Lepisosteus oculatus: one gene and its partners. The protein of the gene in region 2 interacts with the protein of the main gene of each other region in a pairwise test. Links are inferred from orthologs where the notes say so. Each region holds a gene or a part of one and is shown on either strand. Other genes may lie near its edges.

What was found.
Region 1: the proteins of cops5 (region 2) and gfer interact in a two-hybrid assay, tested with the Homo sapiens proteins (2 studies listed by BioGRID). The link is inferred for Lepisosteus oculatus from reciprocal best matches to the Homo sapiens genes COPS5 and GFER.
Region 3: the proteins of cops5 (region 2) and map2k2a interact in a two-hybrid assay, tested with the Homo sapiens proteins (2 studies listed by BioGRID and IntAct). The link is inferred for Lepisosteus oculatus from reciprocal best matches to the Homo sapiens genes COPS5 and MAP2K2.

The regions. Positions count from the first base shown.
Region 1 is NC_090714.1:12,804,058-12,811,846, reverse strand, and holds gfer (FAD-linked sulfhydryl oxidase ALR), read left to right. Parts: upstream 1-4,645; 5' UTR 4,646-4,646; coding exon 4,647-4,871; intron 4,872-5,880; exon of another isoform or gene 5,881-6,316; coding exon 6,317-6,528; exon of another isoform or gene 6,529-6,587; intron 6,588-6,840; coding exon 6,841-7,003; 3' UTR 7,004-7,319; downstream 7,320-7,789. Other genes in the region: drg2 (developmentally-regulated GTP-binding protein 2), read right to left, coding at 693-781, 877-953, 1,088-1,185, 1,772-1,862, 2,036-2,108, 2,278-2,368, 2,572-2,632, 2,861-2,950 and 2 more.
Region 2 is NC_090701.1:51,534,367-51,542,090, reverse strand, and holds the start of cops5 (COP9 signalosome complex subunit 5), read left to right. Parts: upstream 1-4,607; 5' UTR 4,608-4,838; coding exon 4,839-4,975; intron 4,976-6,192; coding exon 6,193-6,427; intron 6,428-7,724. UniProt on the Homo sapiens protein: Probable protease subunit of the COP9 signalosome complex (CSN), a complex involved in various cellular and developmental processes.
Region 3 is NC_090724.1:8,883,042-8,891,136, forward strand, and holds the start of map2k2a (dual specificity mitogen-activated protein kinase kinase 2), read left to right. Parts: upstream 1-4,860; 5' UTR 4,861-5,861; coding exon 5,862-5,953; intron 5,954-7,321; coding exon 7,322-7,532; intron 7,533-8,095. Other genes in the region: pias4a (E3 SUMO-protein ligase PIAS4-A), read right to left, coding at 121-205, 672-1,071, 2,477-2,503. UniProt on the Homo sapiens protein: Catalyzes the concomitant phosphorylation of a threonine and a tyrosine residue in a Thr-Glu-Tyr sequence located in MAP kinases. Activates the ERK1 and ERK2 MAP kinases.

The DNA of each region.
Region 1 (7,789 bases), on a different chromosome or scaffold from region 2:
ACAACACAAGAATGGATTGGGTTTTTAATCATGAGAAAGGTTAATATCGGACTGCACCCACGCCAAAAAAGGTTCAACAGCGATTACATCGTCACCAGCACTAGCTATATTCACACACAGGGTTTTCTTTTGATTAGAGATACGTATAGTGACATAGGTATGCATGTCATTAAATCTGCATTGTAAAAATTCACAAGGATATAAACTTCACACATACTGTGAAAGAGGACACAAGAAAATCTAGGAATTTATTTGCTGGTGTTTTAATGGACGAAGCAGCCGAAACAAAAACTCTCCAAGCATGGCAAACAGAAGAGCCCACGCTTTATTTAAAACGGGAAACCTCAAGACGCTCCACCCAAGACAATTCATTAAGTAACCCGATCTCTGATGAAGAATAGGTCACTAACGACATTTCATACAACAAAACTATGCTGTTTCGTTATCTAAACGAGCAACGGGCTATTTTATCTTCTTCTTAGTCTCCAACATGGCAGAATAAATGTATTATATAAAAAGTACATTTTTAGTAGAGAAAGGGAAGCCTATATAATTGCCTGTAAACACTGATGCCTTCTAAAACCACCACAGTCAGAGAATCAAAATTAGTTATTGCAGTGGACAAAATAGTTAGGACATTCACTGTTAACTTCTGTGTCTACTGAACAGATGTTTTAGTGAGCTAAGGATACCTCCTCTTTTCTTAGTGTAGATGCAGATGAGGGCCAGGTACTCCCAAAGTGTCTCAAGAAGGTAATCTAGATTAAGCTTCATCCCACAGCTGAAAAAAAACATGGTCTTATCAGCAAACATGAAAAAGTGCAACAATGCCACTGTTCTTTTCTGAAACAAGAAAAACGGCCACAGGATATTTACCTAATGACCACGCTATTGGGTCGTTTGGCCAAACGGTCTACCTCTTCCATCGAGATTTGGTCAATTTTATTGTACACCTGCAAAAACAAAGGTCTACACTTTTTGACAAGAAATTTCTCTAAAGTCCAAAAATGAGAGTCAATTTATTTTTTGTTGTCAGTTTGCACCCTTTAGATAAAAAAAAAAACACTCAGCACCGTTTTATACTTACGTATAAGCATGGCATATATACTCTGTTTCCCACAATTACATCGATGAACTCATCTGAAGTACAGTCTTCTCTAAACAAAACCTCTGCATTAAAGATTTCTGTGAGGATGTTTTTTAAAGAAAATGTTTATAACATGCATAAACATATTTCATATCTGTATATTGGTGTCTTAATATCTTCTGATTATTTCAATGAAACACACAAGTTATTTCTCAGTGTTATACACGGCAGTTTGTCATATTGCACCATATTAGGTCATCTAAATTGCTTTTAAGCAATGTAAATGTTTTTTTTCCCAAAGGAGAGGAAACAACACAAACATTGGGAAGTCATAATACTCATTCTGAAATGTCACTAAAACAATTTTAAACCTTATTGATGCTCCTGTATGAAATGACTACACAGTTTTATTGTATCTGTTCTGGTTCTATAATAAAAAAAACATCTTTTAAAAAGAGACCATAAACTAACAGCCACCATTAATAAAAAATTGATAAGCAAAGGTTTAATGAACAGTGTAATGTTTCTATAAATAATCTCTTGAAAGAGAAGACATGTAAATCACCCTGTATCTTAGTTCCTGTTGTTCTGGAGCAAAAAGCACACCGCTAGGGTAAGACACATTAAAGCACGCTATCACAACCCGAAAACAAGCGGATTTTTTAGGTTGACATTAAAGGATACTGTATTCATGAAGAATAAGCTGCACTAGTTTTTCAGAGCAGTGGGTAAGGGGGACTGTGGAGTTGTAGGAGATGCCTCCACCCTTCTTGGGCTGAAAAAAAAATATTACAAATCAATATCGCTCCAAGAAAATTCAGATATAAGGCTTCACTTTAAACTTATAATCAAACATGTTATACATTTTAAGCATGTTGTGGCTATTTCTCATTTACACTAACATTTGCTTTATTGCTGATCTGTACATAAGTTAACCCCAGATAATACCTTGAAATATATATTAGGCTTCGACATGTTGAGCCTAATTCCAACAGATTCCAACTCCTTTTCCAGAAGCCCCCTGTAAAAAAAATAAATAAAAGATTACATTCAAGGACTGCATTTAAACATAGGAAGACATTTTAAATAAACTGTTTTTCAGGGACACAGCATACTCGCTTTTAACTAAACTGGAGGTTTTTCATATGACGCATAAATAATTTAATTTATTTAAAAAGCAGATCACTAACCTCTGAACATCCCCTTTTGTGGCATCCAGCATCATTATGACAACATCTGCAGTTCGGGCAACAGCAATAACTTGTCTTCCTCTACCCTTCCCTGCAAAGACCAGCACCCACACACTGATAAAGGCCATGCTAGCACCAGTTACACCTACAGCCCAGCAAAATGGCTGCTCACTGAGAAGCTAGCCCAGCACTGAAAACACACCAGGGTCATCACATTGCAAATGAGATGTCTTATTAATTAAAACCTTCCTAAATTGTAAGGGATCACAAAGCTATCACTTCCAATTAAATTACCTTGTGCTGCCCCTTCAATGATCCCAGGTAAATCCAACAGCTGGATGTTGGCACCTTTATACTGCAAGAAAAAATCCACATCACCTGTTAACCAGTGTCGTGCAAAAAAAAAACCTTTTGATGTTTTTCCTTTTACAAAACAAACTAAAAAAACAAACAAAGAGAATACCTCTAAAAATATTGGTGGATTCATATTGCCATTGCATTGACCTGGATGCCAAACAAATTTAAGGCTCCTTTGTGAAATCATGTGCACCCTTTTCAAAGAAGGAAAGCAAGACAACCATACCTCAATAACTCCAGGGATACAGGTCAAGGTCGTGAACTCATAGGAGGCGGCCTCACTCGCTGTTGATGTCATAAGGCTGAGGAAGGTGGACTACGAAACAGAAACATCACATCGCCTCAATCAGAAGTTTAGGAAGTTCCTCAAACAACCTATGGCGTAATATACCTTTGTACGCCAATTCCGACACACATTATAAACCTTTCCTTCACATAGGCAGAGTAAAAACTAGGACTTTGGCAGAAAGTAGGTGCCTTACCTTACCCACGGATGGGAAACCAATCAGTGCCACCCTGGCATCGCCCGATTTCATCACATCGAAGCCTTCGCCTTTGGCGCCAGCTGACTTGGAAGGTTCTAACAGCTGGGCTCTGTACTTTGCCAATTTAGCCTTCAGCAAACCCAGATGGTACTCAGTTGCTGCAAACCCAAAAAAACAACAATGTAGTGTCAAGGAAATCTATACCTTATATCCTAAAAAATGTAACTAACATGTTTTGAAACTGGTGCTGCAGAAAACTCATTTGATGTTGCTGCACAATTACTCTCTACTATAATATTTTGGTTGATTTCTCTGTGTCATCCCAACCCCCCCATTAAAACTGTAAAAGCAACACTAAAGCAGGGGTTATTAACTTGTTACTTCCATCCCATTACAAGTCTTTGCTGTGCTGTAGATCATCCTTAATTATCAATGTTCTTCAGCGCTCTGGTTTTTTTAAGGACCAATCCTGCAAGACTTATCATAATGTACAACAATTATTATGTTCTTACCAGAACAGGGGACACTACGTAGATGTGCATTTAAAACTGAGAACACAAGGCACTGATCTACCCAAAGGGTCGTGGGAGTATGGAACAAGCTACCCAGCCATCTTGTTGAAACGGATAACTTGGATTCTTCCAGGAAACAGCTGGGAGAAATGACTGGAACAATTCACGAATAACTACTAAATGGCCTGGATGTGCTGAATAGCCTGTATTCGTCTGTATCTTTTCTCACGTTTTTGTGGCTACCCCTGCCTTAAAGGCTAACATAAATCACCGAACGTACCTTTGTTTTTCTGGGTCCGTGCAATTTCTTTTTCGATGTCTGATATTTTCTCGAGGATTCCCATTTTTAACTCCGAGGTGTCCTTTTATAGAATACTTGGAAATTAAAAAGACATGTAGCTCTGTCACGCACAACGTGTCCTGTCCGCAAAACCAGGCTCGAATTTCACAAAAGAGCGTTTAGCATTTGCAACATTTTGCAAGCCATAAAGCGGCCTGAATAATTAAACACGGTTTTTAATATATATTTTGAAAATAAATGAAAGACTGTCAATAAGGAGACAATAATATTACTTCTACACTTCCCTACACAAAGTGCATGCACAAGACAATTACTCCCTCCGGAAAAGGGAGCCACCGTAAAATAGTTCGGAGTGCAACCAAACCCGCTCGAAAGAGAATTTAGTTCCAGAGTATTTTGAGTTGAAAGTCTTTCAGCTCAGGGCAGGTAACGTGTGATAGAACCCCCTTTAAAAGCACAATATATTATCTTTTGAAAATATAGCTATATTGGAGAAATAATAGAGAACATGCTCGCGTTAGTATTTTTTTTATTTACTCAGATGACCAAATAATTATACGTTGTTACATTCTATTTTATGTACATAAAAAGATGGAGGGTTAAAATAAAATAAAATTAATGTATTTGTTGAAATGTCTTTGTTTTATATGCATATGTACAGACCAGAGATAATGCGTTATATAAGAGACATGTCTGTCATATGTCAAATATAGAATGCATCCCAGAAGCCTTTGCGCCTTGAACATGGCTGCGACCGGCGGTACGAGAGCGCCTGACCCTTCTTCAGTAGCCGGGCTTGCCGGTTTCCCGTTCGCGATTCCAGCTGTCCCCTCTGAAAAAGCGTCGGAAAAGACGGATGAACATAAAAAGAAACCTTGCAGGGCTTGCATGGATTTTAAATCGTGGATCAAAGAGCAGAGGAAACAGTCAACGCTTCAGGTGATGCAAACGAGGTTCAATTCAGTGCTACACTTGTCCGAGTCAAGACATTGGATTTAGAATGTATTCGGATCACGTTTAAGTCAGTTAATATTACACGTGGATCGTATTATTTAAATCTGCTTACTTAACTGCAGTGTTAGTATCATTGTGGGATAAACTGATCAGCTTTACAGTTTACTCTGTGCAAAATACATTTTCTTTTCTCGCGTCTTTGCAGAATTGCGGACTTCCTACGATAAAAATAGCACGATCAGTTTTCAGGTTTGGACATGGAGTTGTCGCCGAGATTTTTCTACACTACGGAGACTGAATCCCATTGTCAGGGACGCGTGAAAATGTTGAAGTTTCACGACTTTCTTTTTTTTCTGCCGTCTGCTTGCCCTTTACTTCTAGGTCTCGGAAGTTTTTACGTGTTGCAGGTCAGGAACGTCAGGAGGGAATCTTTCTCCCAGGTGCATAGCTTTGGTTAAGACGCTTAAGCAGTTATGTCTGAAACGCTGAAATATTATTACATACCTTTATTTCATCAGGATTAAGTTTACACACTGGAATATCTGCTGTCTCTAAATGGGTTAGTGAATACTGGATGTACTAAAGCCCCTTACCTCCTAACCAGATGTGTTCTGCGTGAGCACATAACTGTCCTTTAAATTGCACTGTCTCCCTCCAACATGTAGAGTTGGAAACTCCGAGGTTTAGGGTTTTCTTGCTCACGTGGAAGGTACAAAATAGTCTAGCTCCAGATGATTTTAAGCATTTTTCGTCCTCACAGTCCAGTTCTTAACACAAATTCTGCCGATTCTTCTGAGGAGCAGGTGGTATACAATGGGAACAGACCTTTGAGTCTGCCACTTCAGCTCAGAATAGGGTCTGGCTCCCCTGCGGCCCTGTGTTGATAAAGTGGATGTTTTGAGATGATATATGGGGCTGTTGGAACCCACCCACTAGGTGGAGCTGTTGTACAGAGTATGATGGGGAGACAAAATGTTAACGTGGAAAAGAACTGTTTAAGATAAGATTACTTTATTGGCCATATACAATTTCTCACATTAGGAATTTGTTTTTCCACATACCCCCAGCTTGCTCTCCATGAGACACAGACACGGAGAGAAGCTGGGGGTCAGAGCGCAGGGTCAGCCATTTATACAGCACCCCTGGAGCAGCTGGGGTTAAGGGTTACTCATCAGAGTAGGATTCCCCTGCTGGCCGCGGGATACGAACCGGCAACCTTCCAGCCACAGGCGCAGATCCTGAGCCACAGAGCCACCAATCCGCCCTGTTTATCACATATACTGAATCCGCAGTAATGGGCTTGGCGGGGTGAAGGGTATATTGACACTCTCAGACTGAAGAAGTCCATACTGATCACACCTCCAGGGAATGGAGGAGGAGGAGGAGGAGATGGGGCAGGGGGTGTAAATGACGCGGTCGTCTTTCTTCAGGAGAGCCGGGGGGAGGAGGAGAGGGAGCGTCCCGTGGAGTGCCCCCTTGATCGGGAGGAGCTGGGCAGGAGCACCTGGTCCTTTCTTCACACCATGGCAGCCTACTACCCCGACACGCCCAGCGGCAGCCAGCAGCAGGAGATGAAGCAGTTCGTCAATCTCTTCTCCAAGTTCTTCCCCTGCGAGGAGTGCGCCGAGGACTTGAGATCCAGGTTCGGGATTGGCCTCCTCCGCCTGGCAGAGAGCTGACATCCGGGGGAACGGATGCCGTCTGTTTGTAGAGAGGATTTGAAAGATGGCGTGTATTGTTTTTGTCACTTAAAATATCGACTCTGTGTTACTTCATGTAAACGATCAGTGGTATTACGTTAAAAGTTGTTGCACTGTAAGAATGACACATTTCATCAGACTCGCAGCAAGGATGGGAGATTAAGAAGTGTGCAGCACCTCGCACTGTTAAGTCAAGGCTATATTTTGACAAACACGGGCGATTCTTACTCTGTCATTCTTCCCTCCTATTGCAGACTGAAATCTAATCAGCCGGACACGAGCAGCCGGCACAACCTGTCTCAGTGGATGTGCCACCTGCATAACGAAATCAACGTCCGCTTGGGCAAGCCTGAGTTTGACTGTGGGAAGGTGGATGAACGATGGCGAGATGGCTGGAAAGATGGATCCTGCGACTGAACCAGGCCCCGCTGGGCACGGAGACCCTGAGCCTTGACTGAAGGCTGCCGCGCGTGCACGGCCCTTTCAGAAGTAGGCATCCCAGCGCGCGCCGGTCCCCTCCCTTCCTCGGCTCCGAGACCTTTGGTTTTTGTGTCCTGTGAGCTGACCCGGCTCTCATGAAAAGAAAAACGGGTCTCCGTTTCCCGTTTGACATCGTCTCTCTGCGATTTTCGTTTGACAAACGAGTGAATATTTCTCCTCTAAATAAGGCAACGACCAATTGTTCTAGCTTGTTAATTGGGGAAAAATAAAGCACTAATACCATCCGCAATTACGAATGAACCTTAGCTAATCAATTACCTCTTCAATGCCTGATTTTGATCCCTGGGACAAGTAATTCCAGTATTTGAATACGTGTCTTTGTTTTCAGATCAAATACTTACCATACAATGTAGTAGCATAGCAATATGCTCTTACTTTGGCTCAACGGAAGTCTTTAAATCCTATAATCTTATAACAGTTCTGGATTGTGACTGTACAGAACAGGGGAACACCCTGCAATAGTATCTTTAATGATACTTGAGAGAACTTAAAAACCAGAGAAAGCACAGCAGCTTTATCAGGTCAAAGGATATGATTACCAGTGGAAAGTGCAAAATGGCTGTGCTGTGTTTTCGTTGGTTTTCTGGTATTGTTTCTGCAGATACAGAGCCATTTCCTGACAAATAGTCTGCAGTATAGAAGGGTTTTCTGTTCTGTTTAACGCAAGTCACTTATGGTAGCACAGTACATCAAGCGATCAAC
Region 2 (7,724 bases):
ATATTCTCTTTTGCCACATAACAGCTGTCTTGTGAATGCACATGCCATTGTCTGTACAGCACAGTATCTTTTGCAGTGTTCACCTATCTTTAATATGTAGAACACAATTAAGACATCTTCTCTCTCAATGCAAAGTTATTTTAAACAAAAACATTACTTTCCCTTGACTGGAAATATTGATGTGAGATTTTATAAAGAATTATTGAAATACAGCCCAAAAAGATGTTTTGCCTTTCCGGAATAAAATTAGTGATTACTGAACAAAGATCCTTATTCACATCTTGGCTAAAATGAAAAGGTGCTCGATATGCACTGTTGGAGACACATCACTGATGCCACATACAGTAATACAAAGAGTAAAGAAATGATACCCTAGAACGCCAGGGTGCCTGACACAAAATGCAGCAACATATTCTACTTTGGATATTTTAAATGTATTCAGGAAACATGTAAACTTTTGTGCCCTTGCTCTCCACAAACAAAATATGTAGATCTTCTACAACCCTAGAATTCGAATTGATGACTAACCTGCTCACCATGACCACCAAAGTAAACAATGAAATGCCAGCGTGGCCTTTAGATGTACTGTATACTGCACTGTACTGGGCTTGGCACTCATTCGTGTTCATGCGTACAATGCACTGTTACATATTTTAACATGCAGCAACACAGACACATGCACTTTGTTAAAGCAGCACTGGACAAAATTATCTTAGACACTACTAAGATTCTCAGCTTCTGCTTCTGGAAGATGGGACTTACTGCAGAACAAAGCACTTTTCTCTGATTACACTTTGGCTCTATGACTACTATAAGTATTAATCTAATTAAAGAAAACAGATGAGTCACTCAATATGCAATGTAGATGTATCTAGAAATCAGGCTTTTTAAAGACATGGGAGAAAACACAGTATTGTAAGAACATTTCTATTAAGTTACCTTTTTTTTAAAGAAAAAAGTACTGCTTTTCCACGTATTCACTTCCAAGTAAGCTGAACACTGGGAGAGTTATAACCCAGATAAGCGTCTTCTTCAAAGGCATTCAAAACTGCTTTACCAGCAAAGTCAAAATGCCAGAAGCCAATTTAATCAGCCTGGATCGTTAAGTTCACAGGTTAGTTCTTTATTCCTTTTGCACTTCCTCACATAATTCCCCCCTTCCAAAAGTACTCCTGCTCCTCCTGATATCTGTGAAGGTATCTATAAGGAATCATGTGCAATGTCAAAAACACAAATGGAGGGGGAAAGAAATCACTGAAGAGCACTACTCACACTTACTGTCAAAGCGCTCAGCAGTCTTTACTCTCAAGGTTAAAAGACCTGAACTCGGAAGACGTTTTGGCTAAATGAACCCTTCCCCAAAATACAGAACATAAAGGTCATTATACATACGGTACAGACAGCTGGGGGTAGAACCTGTTGTTTCAAGATGTAATCGACTTTTGGGAAAACAACCTCCAAAGAAAGCAATAAAAAACGTAACTGGCTGTTTTTCTAGGTAGTAGAAGTGCCAGTTACATTAACTGCCCCTTCTGATAAGAATGCTTGACCTGCCTTAATACATTTGGGACATCAGTTACTTAACACTTTTTTGGAATGAAAACAGCCCACCTTCACCATTACGCACAACACGTAAACCTTAAATGCGACACTGGGAATCTCAAAGTCACCTTTATAAAACCATTCCTTCCAACAGACCACATAGCAAAGCAGTAAGACCCAGCACAGCTCCTGTAGAACAAAAACACAAATCATGCAGCTCTGCTAACAAGCGTGAACAGATGTGGATATACCGGGACACCCCTGTCGGTTTCTAAGTTTGTGTGAAATTGGCCTGAATACTTGCCGTACTATTTTGTGAAACGGCGTAAATATTTAAATTTTAAGTCGCTCAATTTGTTTTAATACTAACGTAAATTAAGTCTTCAGAAAAAAAAGCTTAAAAAAGCAGGGGCATCACTGTCTTCAGATTATTTCCAATGAAATAAAATTTAAAAAATAACGTAGAAATCAGTGCCACTGCCTCTTTAATACCCGTTGTTAGGCAACCACTGTACACAACGTCTTAGGCCACTTCGCGGCGCCGAGCACAACCGCTAATATTAACTGCAGCTTATCGACAAATAGTTGACAAACATCCCCGTCAGGAAACTTATCATTTAAAACGTAGACTTCTCACTTTAGCAATAAATATATGCGGTTCCGGGGAGGATCATTCGAGATAAGTAGGGCGCTCCAGACACAACAACCCCCTTCAGCAAAGTATTAAACACGACAGTTCAACGTTACTGACTCGAACACAAACTGCATGTTTTTGAAAAGGTCCCGTACCGTACGACAAGTTCAACGTATCCTCAGCGGAACAGCGCGCATCCTCCCCTGGGAGAAAAAAAACACAACACACGAAGGTGTCCACGTCCTGAGTGGTTTTACGGCCGCCGGGTTTCAACGAATAACACAGCGGATCCGCCGCCCAGCAGCAACAAGCCCGCAGGGCAACTTGTCAGCAGCAGCAGCAGGGAACTGCCGCCCGGTGCTGCAGGGAAGAAGAGCGAGGGGCGGGAGAACCTCAAACACCAGAGCACAGGGAATTACACAGCACCCCCTAGTGGACTGGAGGGACACTTATACACTGCTGTCCCATAAGGGATCCTGGTGACCCTGTTCTTTGATCCTGGTGATCTTTGATCCCCTGTGTTTGGGGTTATTTGTGGATCAAATTCACGTCTGATTTCTTTCAAGTCTAGATCTCTTTTTTGTTTTTCAAACGGATTCTTCCAGCCTTTATCAATAAAAAATGACATCTGCTTTATTAAAGCAATTCTCCGTCACTGTATGTTTAAAGCAGGTCCAGAGCCACTGACTTCTATTTACGTTGTATGTTATTTACGTGGGTACGTCGGTATGTCAGTTGTACTGTATGTTGTTGTCGCTGCTGCTGCTGTTCTGTGTTGGTGTTTCCTTAATGTCCTGGTATCGGAGCAGACGTGCAAATAAGCATTTCATTGCACTTGTGGATATGACAAATAAACTGACAAATAAACTGAACTGAACTGTTCCAAAGAGCGGGGGCTCATACCATTTAAATTTCACTCTGCTCTCCGAGAGGAGGCCGTTGGTCCATTCTAGCTTGCTTGCTGTGGATGACGTGGATCCTCTCAATCCTCTGGGATAGAATTAATAATAATTGCTTGCACTTCTGTAGCACGTTTCTGCACACTCCACTCAAAGCACTTTACAGGTAATGGGGACTCCCCTCCACCACCACCAGTGTGCAGCCCCACCTGGATGATGGGATGGCAGCCACAGTGCACCGGTACACTCCCCAGACACCAGCTCTCAGTGGGGAGGAGAGCAGAGTAATGAAGCCAGTTTAGAGGCGGGGATCGTTAGGAGGCCATGATTGATAAAGGCCAATGGGAAATTTGGCCAGGACACTGGGGAAACACCCCTGCTCTTTTCGTGAAAAACGCTGGGATTTTGAATGAACACAAAGAATCAGGACCTCTGTTTACATCTCATCCGAAGGACAGCGCCTTTTTTACAGTATAGTGTCCCCGTCACTATACTGGGGCTTTAGGACCCACATAGACTGCAGGGTGAGCGACCCCTGCTGGCCCCACTAACACCTCTTTGGCGCCCTGGCCAAAATTTCCCATTGGCTCTTATCAATCATGGCCTCCTAATAATCCCCAAATATGAATTGGCTTCATCACTCTGTTCTCCTCCCCACTGAGAGCTTGTGTGTGGTGAGCGTGGTGGTGGAGGGGAGTCCCCATTACCTGTAAAGCGCTTTGAGTGGAGTATCCAAAAAACGCTATATAAGTGTAAGCAATTATTAATTATAATTATTATTATTACCTCTTCCAGAAGCAACCTTAGTTTTTCCCAGGAGTCTCCCATCCAGGTACTGACCAGGCTTGTTTTAACACACATTATTGTATTGGAAACGTTAGCCCAGTTTGTCTGTTTTATCTTATCATCTTTGCAATCTCACTCTCAAGCAATGTAAAAAAAAAACTCATCTCCTGAAACACAGTTGTACCGTCTTCTTTGTTGATGATGTTCGTTTTTGTTGGATTGTTATGTTAGACTCTGCCACCAGGGAGTAATGAACGAAACTAATATGAATTTAAAATATATTCATGTATTACATCCCTCCATCCACTTGCTAACTGCTTCTTCCAATTCAGGATCGCAGATGATCCAGATCCTGTGTCAGCAAGCTACAGGGACAAGACAGAGTATACCTCGGGCCAGTCCATCACAGGGAAGACACAGACAGAAACACCCCATCAGTTGGCCTGACAGCATGTTTCTGGACTGGGAGGAAATCCTTATTTATTCCTTTTCTGGAAACTAAATGTGCAGCTGCAGACAGCCGCCAGCAGGGGGCTCTATCACCTCAAGGGCTCGCTCGCGTCCCACCGAAGCCGTCTGGACCGAACCATTGAAGTCACGGGTTTCTTTTTTTGTTGTTGTAATATTCTTTAGAATGCGTTGCACATAGAGATTTTTCGATAACTTAAAGACTGAGAAAATTCTTAGTTTTGTATTTGTATTTTTTACACATAGTGATTGTGGTTGTCGGCATCCATTTTCGGGTTCTTGTCATTTTCAGACCACCCCAGGGTGGGCTCGGTGGTAGTTGTCCGTGTCATGGCTGTGTTGTTAGGTAGCGCCGGCGATCGTTAGCGAAGTTTAGCTACAACATCGCAAGAAAAATTACATTTCCGTTGTTCTCAAGGGTGTTTTGTAGGGGGGTTATCTTCTTCCGAAGGGCGAGGCAGGTTTAATTGATCTAACGCACAGAGATAGAGAGCGTTTCAGCTGGGAAGATGGCCGGGGGCGGTATGGCGCAGAAGACATGGGAGCTCTCCAACAGTATGCAGGAAGTTCAGAGCATTGATGAAATTTATAAATACGACAAGAAACAACAGCAAGAGATCCTAGCTGCGAAACCGTGGACAAAAGAGTGAGTTTCTTTTTAAAAAATGCATACAAACCTCTGTTCGCGATGCGTTTTGTAACGTAACTGTTAGGTGGCCCGTTTCAGTGCTTTCACTGTTGTTTTCTTTTGATTCATTTTCTTACCGCTTTTTCTTAGTAAAAAAAAAAAGGAGACAAAAGATTATTTAATGCGTGTTTATTAAATGATTTGCTAGCCAAAACTCGTACACTTGCAGAAATTCGCAAATTTCATAACGCAGTATGGTTTGGTCAAAGGTCTCTCCGCTTGCGGTTTTCTGGATGAGGATCTCTTGATTATTTCTTGATCGTGCTTTTAAAAAAGCTGACAGTTTAAAATAAAAAGAAAAGTTTCATAATGTTTCCTTTTCAATTTCCCTGGAACATAATACGATGGGTTGCATTCGTTAGGCTCTGATTATCCTCACAATCGATTTTGTAGAGAGAGGTCGGGCTTCTCCAGTGCCGAGTACCAGAGCACTGCCGGCAGTGCCCAGTGATACGTATTGAGCTGAATGAATTGAACTGGCTCGGCAGCCATATCACCCTGCAGCTGGCTACCCAGTAAAGCTCAGCAGGGTTGAGTTTGGTCAGTACCTGGATAGGAGACGACCTGGGAAGTTATGGTTGCTGCTGGAAGTGGTGTTAGTGGGACCAGCGATCTGTGTGGGGTCCTGATGCCACGGTATACTGGAGAAACACTATACTGTAGTGGGCGCCATCTTTCGGATGTGACGTTAAACCGAGGTCTTGACTCTCAGTGGTCATTAAAAATCCCAGGGCGTTTCTCAAAAAGAGTAGGTGTCCTGGTCAAATTTCCCATTGGCCTTTACCAATCATGACCTAAGAATAATCTATGAATTGGCTTCATCTCTCTGTTCTCCTCCCCACTGAGAGCTGGTGTGTGGGGAGAGTACTGGTGCACTATGGCTGCCGTCGCATCATCCAGGTGGGGCTGCACACTGGTGGTGGTGGAGGGGAGTCCCCATTACTGTAAAGCGCTTTGAGTGGAGTGTCCAGAAAAGCACTATATAAGTGTAAGAAATTATTATTATTGTCTTTGTCCCTCCCAGCCTAAAAGCAGCACCTCATCTGGTGTTGACTTCTAGAGATTGATGCCTCAGAGACCAGGGGCAGTGTCTGATTATTAGCACTGAAATAATCCGACGGGGGGGACAGGTGGCTCACCGCAGTTCTCTCCGTTTGGCCGTGCGTGTTTTGCAGCCACCACTACTTCAAGTACTGCAAGATCTCGGCCCTGGCCCTGCTGAAGATGGTCATGCACGCCAGGTCCGGCGGCAACCTGGAGGTGATGGGCCTGATGCTGGGCAAGGTGGACGGGGAGACCATGATGATCATGGACAGCTTCGCCCTGCCTGTGGAGGGCACGGAGACCCGGGTGAACGCCCAGGCTGCCGCCTACGAGTACATGGCGGCGTACATCGAGAACGCCAAGCAGGTCAGCGGGGCGCTCCGGCCTTCTCCGACGTCGGAGACACGGGCGCTCGGCCGCGTTTCTGGCTTGTTTTTTTTTCCGGTGGCGTGGTTTAAGAAAATCTCGCACCTCAGTCTCCCTCTCGGCTTGCCGAGGTCCTGCGGTGGTCCGTGCTCCGGCATTCCACGCCAGGGTCCTCCCCGCCTGAGAGAGGAGGCCGTTCTGCCCATCCAGCCTGGTTTGGTAGTTCATTGATCCACGGATCTCATCGTTTGATGAAAGACGCTTCAATAACATGCAGGATTCAACAGACTATGGAACAGCTTCTACCTCCAGGCAATAAGACTGCTAAATAGCCAACCTGCAGCTCCTTTAGCATATCACCCGTAATGGCTACATGGACATACAGTTCTCATTGTATTCATCATACTGCACTACTTGGACATAATACATTGCATACACCATGGACACATAGCAGCTCTATTCATATTGAGTTTTCTCTGAGTTTATTTTATTCAATTTCTATTGTGAGCTCGTAGAAAAGACATTTCATTGCCAGCAACTACTGCTGCACGCTGTGTTGTTGTGCATTTGATAAATAAACTTTGATTGGATTTTGATTTGAGGGTTTAGCTGTTCCATATTCCCACAACCCCCTGCACACGGAGGTGCCTCCTGTTTTTGTTTTCAACTTTACATCGATTTAATTTCCGCCCTCGTCCTCTGGTTCGTGTCTCACTGTCCAAGAATAGTAAGGTTCAGGAGGGTTGCAGTACTATGGAACACGCTCATCTCATTTGAGACGTTTCTTATGTTCAGATAAAACTTGACACTTCAAAGCAAAGCGTATTGAATTAATTGAAGCTGTTCTGGCAGCCCACGAGGCCCAACACACTGTGAAGACAGTTTATATAGGTGTTTCCTTTATTTTAGCTCTTATGTGTATTGTGATCCAGTCTTGTACAATAATTGTGGTTTGTGCCTTCTTTCAGAATATAAGTTTCAGGGTTTTTTTTTCGTTGATGCGGACTAAAAAGACATAAAAATGCAATGGACAGTGTGTCCAGGTGGGGGAACACTTTGATTTGTTTTTTTTTTTGTTGTTGTTGTCGTGGACAGCTGACCTTTATGAGTCCAAGGGAAACTACAGTCATTCACAATGACATGTAAAACATCAACACCTTTTAATATTTTTAAGGTGTTTCTTTTAAGGCCTTTAACAGATAATTGTGCAATCTTATCTAAGCATGCACTAGAGATACAAGATTTCGTCGACATACTCATCTATGAAAAAAGCGCATACTTTCTGAAGTATGACATT
Region 3 (8,095 bases), on a different chromosome or scaffold from region 2:
GTAGGTATTAAAGCACGAGCCTGTAAATGTCCGGATAGTAACCAGATGAAGAAGAGGTGGGTATTGAGCTCCTGCAGGTTTGGGAGCAGAGAGAGAGAGAGAGAGAGAGAGAGAGCTCACCGAGAATTCCTGATCTGCTCCACCTGGCTCTGGGACAGCTCAAAGGTGCACGGGCTGTCCTGGAGTTTCTCGCTGTTCTGGGGCACTAGGGAGACAGAGAGACAGTTACAGACCAGACTCGGGAAAGCTCTGCCAAAAAAGACTGTATCCCAGCGGCCTCCCCCTGGACCTGGGCAGTGTCTGTAGGTTTTCCAGGTCTCTTTAAAGCAGCAGCACCTGCAGGTTGAAGCTGTTCAATTGGTCCAATTAAGCCACTAACGAGCATCTTCAGCCATCAAGACCTTGGCTCCAATAAAAACCTGCAGTTTGCAGGGAAGCCGGAACCCGGGACCTGTTGGACAGTCCTGCTCCAGCCCAGGTGCTGCTGAAAAGACCGAGAATCTTGTCTCCAGTGAACTTCTGTTCACAGGGGTCACTGAAGGTCGGAAATCGCAGAATAAGAGAAACCGAACTACAAAGCAAACAGCAGGAAACAGAGGAGGGAGAGGGGAGACCACACAGGAGAAAGGGCACGGCCAGCAGCTCTCCCGGACGGGTCGGGGGGGACTCACCGAGCTCGGTGGGGTGCAGCAGCACGTCCACAGTCTTGTAGAAGGGCAGGGGCACCAGCTTGACGTCGGTGGGGGGTGTGGCGGCGGTGGCGGTGGCGGCGAGGCCGTTGAGGTAGTCCGCGCCCTGCGGGGGGGCCGGGGCCGGGTGCGGGGGGCTGCGGGCCGGGTAGGGCGCCTGCAGCAGCTCGGGGGGCCGAGGCCGCTGCGCCAGCCAGCCGGGCGCCTTGGGGAAGCGCGACTCGTACAGCTGGCGGATGGTCTTGAGCAGCTCCGGGCTGCACTCGCTCTGCACCAGCCGCAGGGCCCGGCCCACCAGGTCCTGCTTCAGCCCGCTCTTGCTGCGGCCCATGGAGGACAGCAGCGTCTGCAGGTCCGACACCCGGAAACTCTTCACCATGTTCTGCGGGGCGGAGAGGAAGACAAGAGACGCTGAGCACCTCCTCTCCGGACCCTGGACCCCCTCCCCGTCCCCCCAGACTCGTCGACATGCGCTGGGCGACCTCCTCCTGCTGCACCCCAGAGCCCCAGAGGGCTGTCTCCAAGGCAATTGGGGTCCCCTCTCCCCTCTCCCCGAGAGGGGACCGATCCGGACTCCACCCCTTCCTCTTCAGAAGCGCTTTGCCCGAACTGGATCTGCCTGCCCTTTGCACCGCGGGCCGCACTCAGAACCCTTGTTCTTTACTGGAAAGCACTTTAAAAAGCAGCTTTGAAAGGCGCTATATAAAACAAAAGATCCGCACGCAGCATCGACTCCTCTCCCCAAGCAGGAGACCAGAGGCACCGCTGTGGAAACTGGCGACACCGGGCAAGCCCTCCCAGCGCCCGGCTGCCTCTCAACACAAGCCCTTCACCCCAGGACGAGCCAGCCGGACTCGTCTTTGCTCCGCCTGCGTGCAGCCCGCAGACGCGGCCGGACCCTTACAGAGCAGCCGACACACCCGCCGGGGGCTCGGACAGAAACCCACGGGCACAAGACGTCACGCCAGCGGAGCCCGAGAGGACTAAAGGCGAACAGGGCTGACGACTTCTCTCAATCAAACAGCACGGAGTTCTCTCTAAATCCATCCGGCGAAAATCAGACTGCAACAACAGTTATGATCAGCTTTGAAGCGGGGCTTCCGTCTGCGTCGGCTGTTGCCCGTCTGCACACCGGGGCGCTGCTGGCTCTGCTCAGCCGGGGAGCACCAGCGCAGGGGGGCTGCTTTGCATCTCCGCCGGCTGGGGACCAGGCACGGGTGACGGCAACGACGGGTCGGGACTCCTGCGCTGCTCGGCGTCTCCAGCCACAGACGCCGACAAGGGTGCGCTCATCGGGGTCACCGCGGCGCCCCGGCCTCACGCTGGCGCCGGCCAGGTGCCGAGCCCGGACACCGGCCCTGCAGCTCCCTTCCCCCTGGGGGCAGCGGACAGGTCCGCCTCTCTCTCGCCGGGAAAAACACACCTCGTCGCTGTCAACCCGTGAAGACGGAAGCCCCTCTCACGCCGCGCAGGGTCCCTTCAGCTGCAGGCACACGCCGGGTGCGAGGTGCCGAGCTTGCAGGAGGGGAGTGAATGATTAAACCCGAGCCGCTCCGACTCCCCGCTGGCGGATGTTTTTATTTATGGATCTATCATTCATTATCCCATATGCCAGCGACCCCTCTTCACAACGGCTCTGCCCCCTGGCGTGAATCTCCCTGCCACCCCCAGCCTCGCCGCGCTGGGCTCCCGCCCTCCCCAGCCTCGCCCGAAGCCCCCGCTCGGCTGCCCCGGCCGCCCCCCGGCCCCTTGCCCAGCCGCCCGGGAGAAAGCAGCTCTCGACTTGCCATCGCTTCCACTAGCTCGGCCGCCATCTTCCTCCAGCAGCCCCGCGAGAGCCAAAACTAAGAAAGCGAGCTGGCCGCCAATGAGAGGCCGCGGGGTCACGTGCGGGGGAGCCGGGCCCACCAATCGGCGCACGGCCCGGTCACGTGGTGCGGGGGACTGCGCAAGAAAGGGGCGTGGCCGCTGGCTCTTAAAGCGACAGTGTTAGCAAAAAGTCGGGTCACACTTCCACATAGGCTGCCAGTGGCGCGCTAGGCCTCGGCACCCTAAAAAGGCGCATGGGCTGCCTGATATCACGGGGTGCCACCTTTTAGAGCTTGATAACCCCGGAATGAACGTGCGCTCCGAGGCAGCGCCAGGGTCTTCTTACATTAATCGCGTTTCTTTAGCGGTGTCAGTCGGAAGACAGCATGAGTCTGGGAGACTCCAGTCCGTATCCAGAATTCTACTTCACACCTCGCGTCCAACCAAACGGCTTTAGGAGAAGGAATGCAATGTGCGTTTTTAAACAGGTCCAACATCTTAATTAGATCATATCTTTTTTTCTTATCGACAGAAAGGCTTATGGAAATGTTTTTGTCTGGAAGGTTTGTAGAAACCAGTGTCTGATATTTTGCACTTTGTTAAAAAGATGGAAATGAGTGTCAGAATTGTGCATTCTAGGAGCTGGATCCAGGAATCCATTTCCATGTCTTTGAAGCTGAACAGCTCTTGTAAAACTGAATTAGTTAGGAAGGACACAAAGATACGCACACCCTGTAACCCCAAGTCCTTCCACAGACTGTTCATTCGGAATGATGTGCCAGGCATGACATCTCCAGCTCTAGGCTGTGGATAATACACAGTCGCCCCACCGTTCATGAAACCTTACTTTTTTTCCCCCATTTCCATGTTAACACACCAATTTCACGAAGACACACAGACTTTCGCAGTAACACACACTAACACACAGTAACACACAGTGTGAACATGTCTGGCCAGTGAGCAACCCCACCAGCAGGAGGAGGGTGGAGGAAAGATGAAGATGGTGAATGGCTGTGCCGGATCTCCCATGGGGCCGTGCTGGCACAGCTGCTAGGGCCTAGGACATTTTTAGGGCCTACGAAGGAGGGAAACACTCCTGACTGACGAGCTGAAACAACATGCTTGCTCCACATCAACAATCCCACGCTCTCTAGCAGCTGTTCTAGAAACTAGAAGTGTGGAAGTGATGGTCTCTCGACTCGCCCCATCAATCGCCTGGTTTAGCATGAGAAGAGCGTAGAGAGGTTATGAGGAGCCATCGTAAATAGCTGTCAGTGTTTGCTGTTTGTCCTTGTAACCCACTGAAAACTGAAGTACCCCTCCTTAATTCTTACCGCGTGTGTGTGTGTGTCAGTGTGTGTGTCAGTGAGTGAGTGTGCGTGTGTGTGTAACCCCTTCAAGGAGTTTTAATCTCTGTCTATCAAGTCCAACAGGCGGAGGTAAATAAACGAGTTGTTGTTGGCACATCAGGGGTGTGTGAGCTCCATTCTGTGCGAATCCCCCGGTCCTCACAATAGTTTAAAGTGCATCATGTCAATCGACGTCATTCAACTGGCGTTGACCCCTCTCCTGGCACATTTCGGAGTGAAAGTGCCGAGGGCCGACGAGCACCACAGTCCGGCCCTGGCGAGAGGGAGAGTCAGTGTTTGTCAGCGGGGGATGATGGGATGTTGCTCTGGGAGCGCAGGCAGGGAGACCGGCTGTCAGGCTCAGGAGCAGTCGTCGGGTGGCCATGTCTCACTCTGCTGGGATTAGACTGCAGATCGTCGGGGGACAGACCCTGTCACCTGCAGTGAGTCTACCTCATTCCTTCCTCCCCTCCGGCCTCCAGGAGCCCCAACAGCTGTTCTGAGGAGTGTTTCATGCCGGTCAGGACACTGGCCCGCAGTGGGTCTCGTGGAGCAAGACAGCGCAGACACTGGGCAGACACTGTGAGCAGCTCGCCACAGAAACGGAGCTGACCAGCTGTGATCCTGCCTCTCAATTGCAGGACTCCCCCCAGGAGGTCCAAGACTGGACAGAGCAGGATGTGCAAGTGCAAGAGCACTACTACCGTTCTTATGCAAACATTTTATTTCAAATCCACCTGGGAATCTAGAAGTGTTGCGTTCCTATCGATATATATATATATGAATTATATATGTATTCCTATATATATTTTTGTGTGTGCGTGTCTAAGTCTGCTCCTGGAGCATTATAAGGACAGACAGCATTGCGCGTTGTGACAGGCAGGAACACTCGCGGTCGAAGCCACTCTGTTTCTGGAGTTACTCCATCCCGCCGCCAGAGGTCGCTGCGTGCAGCTCCAGGCGCGACCTCTAATCTCGCGAGATTTATGTTGCAACCCTGGACCGGATTCCGCTGATCGTGAAGGATGTGTGGGTGACAGATCTCGCGAGATTCCGTGGGACCCCTCCTGGCCGCGTCTGCTGCTACTGCTACTGCTTCCTGAACCGGGACCCGAACTGAGTCCCCGCCGCCCAGCTGAGAGCCTAACCGAGCCGGCGTCCCCCGGCCCATCCAGTGGACATTCGCCGCAGACACCCCGCTCACGCCCTCTCCCCGCCGCAAGGGCCGCGCAGCCTCGGGCTCTAGTGTTCGCTGCCACCGGGGGACCCTGCCTCCCTTTTCCGCGTCCGCAGAGCCGGAGACAGGCCGCGGCCGCGGTGCGCCCCAGGACAACACCAGAGACGGTCTTTCTCTCTAAACAACAGCTGAAGACTCTGAAGGAAAGGAAAAGAGACAAACGCGGTGATATGCTGTTTATTTATTTTTTCCTGGCGTCTTCCTTCAAGTGATCACTTTTCCGTACGTGTCTGAAGGTACCCGGGGGACTCGCACCTTGAAGAGGAGACTCGGGTGTTTTCAACGTTTCAAAAGCTGCAAAACCCGATTCTAACCTCCGCGCTTCGGGACGGGCAGAGGTGCCGGGGCCGCGATATTCATCCTGTCGGATGCAGACGTCGATCCGTGTGCGGTAGTCGCGCTGCTGCTGCCCGTGTCCCAGCCCCGCCGGCAGACCGGTGGCCATTAGCGACCCACCTTCCCGACCGGACCGGACCGCCCGCCCGCAGCTCTTGAGAAGGGGATGTCGCTGTGAAGAACAGCATCTCAGCTGTCAAAAAACACCCACTATCGGGGCACTCGTGCATTTCAGCTTTAATTGTCCAAAAGAAAACCTTTCCCAAGCCGGCCTGTAGAGGCGGGTGGGGGCTGCAGTCGAGACGGGGCCGCCGAAATCTCTCTCTATGTTTTAATCTGGGCTCCCGACTGGAGCTTCTGATTCAGCGAACCAGCGCCGAGTCGGTTTTCCCGGTCCAGTGCGAGCTGTGCGGGCTGGGTCGCGCCTGAGGCCCGAGCGAGATGGCTCCGAAGAAGAGGCCGATGCCGCTGAACATCACCCCCACGGGCGGGGAGGGCCAGCCCGGTCCCAACGCCGTGGACGCCGCGTCCGAGTGAGTACCTTCCGGGGGGAGCGGGTCAGCTGCTGGGGGGGGGGGGGTGTTAATGTGTTTAAAAAGTCTTCTTGCCCGAAAGGTTAGTGCATCAGTGGCCTGGAGTGAAAACGTAGCCGCGGAGCAGGGCTGAGCTGATACCGGGCGTGTGTAGGGTGTGTCGGGGGTTTGAGACCCGCTTGCTGACGGACACATCAGCAGGAAGGGTGCGACAGCGGGGTCTGGACTGGAAGGTTGGGGGTCCCCCCCCTGAGCCGGATGCTGCACCCAGAGAGCCGCAGGGAAAGACCCCGCTGTAGGAGAGGGCGCACATGGGAGTCGCTTTGTATCAAAGGGCATCGGGGAAAGATCAGTAACCTGTCGAGTTTCACCTGTTCAGACCAGTTTGTCATGAGCGCTCCCATACAAAGACATTAAAGGAATCGCCCAAAACACCAACACTGAGCAGCAGCAACAACAATAAGTTAATAAATGAGTAGCTCAGCGTAAAAGAGTGCAGGGCAGCAGTGTGTTCAGTAGCTCAGGGTGAGAATGCAGGGCAGCAGTGTGTTCAGTAGCTCAGGGTGAGAATGCAGGGCTGCAGTGTGTTCAGTAGCTCAGGGTGAGAATGCAGGGCTGCAGTGTGTTCAGTAGCTCAGGGTGAGAATGCAGGGCAGCAGTCTGTTCAGTAGCTCAGTGTGAGTGCTGGGCAGCAGTGTGTTCAGTAGCTCAACGTAAGAGAGTGCAGGGCAGCAGTGTGTTCAGTAGCTCAGTGTTATAGTGCTGGGCTGCAGTTTGTTCAGTAGCTCAGTGTTACAGTGCTGGGCTGCAGTGTGTTCAGTAGCTCAGCGTAAGAGAGTGCAGGGCAGCAGTGTGTTCAGTAGCTCAGCATGAGAGTGCTGGGCTGCAGTGTGTTCAGTAGCTCAGCATGAGAGTGCTGGGCTGCAGTGTGTTCAGTAGCTCAGCATAAGAGAGTGCAGGGCAGCAGTGTGTTCAGCAGCTCAGTGTGAGAATGCAGGGCAGCAGTGTGTTCAGTAGCTCAGCATGAGAATGCAGGGCAGCAGTGTGTTCAGTAGCTGAGCGTGAGAGTGCAGGGCTGCAGTGTGTTCAGTAGCTCAGTGTGAGAGTGCAGGGCTGCAGTGTGTTCAGTAGCTCAGCGTGAGAGTGCTGGGCAGCAGTGTGTTCAGTGTTCAGTTTGTCACGAGCGCTCCTGTACAAAGACGTTAAGGAATCACCGTTACCCCGGAGCAGCAGCAGTGTCCGTATGGAAGGTGGGAGCGACCAGGAGCCCAGACGACGTTCAGACACTGCTGGCAGTGAAGGGAAACCTGTGGTGTTAGCTGACTTCCCAAACTGTGCACTGAACACTGTCGTGATGTCCCCCCCCAGGGCAAACCTGGAGGCCCTGCAGAAGAAGCTGGAGGAGCTGGACCTGGATGAGCAGCAGAGGAAGAGGCTGGAGGCCTTCCTCACGCAGAAGGCCAAGGTGGGCGAGCTGAAGGACGACGACTTCCACCGCATCTGCGAGCTGGGCGCCGGCAACGGCGGCGTGGTCAACAAGGTGTGCCACCGGCCCTCGGGGCTGGTCATGGCCCGCAAGGTGAGTCCCAGTGGGGCGGAGCCCTCCAGTGGCTCTCTCTGAGTGAGTTCGTTAGAAATCAATCCTGTTGTGAGCTGTGAACGTAAGGGTAGCAGGTTATTTCCGTGTCGAGGGAGGGCGTGGCTCATCTTTGCCGTAAGATGACGATATCAGTGGGGTTTCAGCTGCTGCTTCACCAACTACCGTCAGTTCAATTTCGGAAAGTTGTACTTATTCAATTTCTTTTTATATAGCGCCTTTCACAACAGGGTTGCGTATTGCGATGATCAGATTGCATGAAACGTTCCAAGTGTTGCAGACTGCGCTGGAGTGGTCTGAAATTAAACTCCTGGAGTTGCAGCTGGGAAAGGACATCCTTCTGCAGGAGGAAGCACCTTATCGGGCACTGAGAGAAGGAAGCAGGATGAGAGATCTCAGAACAGCTGAGCCGAATCCGGTCACTGTACTAACGCATTTCTGTTTCATCTGGTCTCCAGTCCAACACATCCATGTGACTAGTAAACTGTAGACAAGCTAGGGACGTGGGCTACTTGAGGTGTCTTTCTAGAAGTTAACAGATTCAC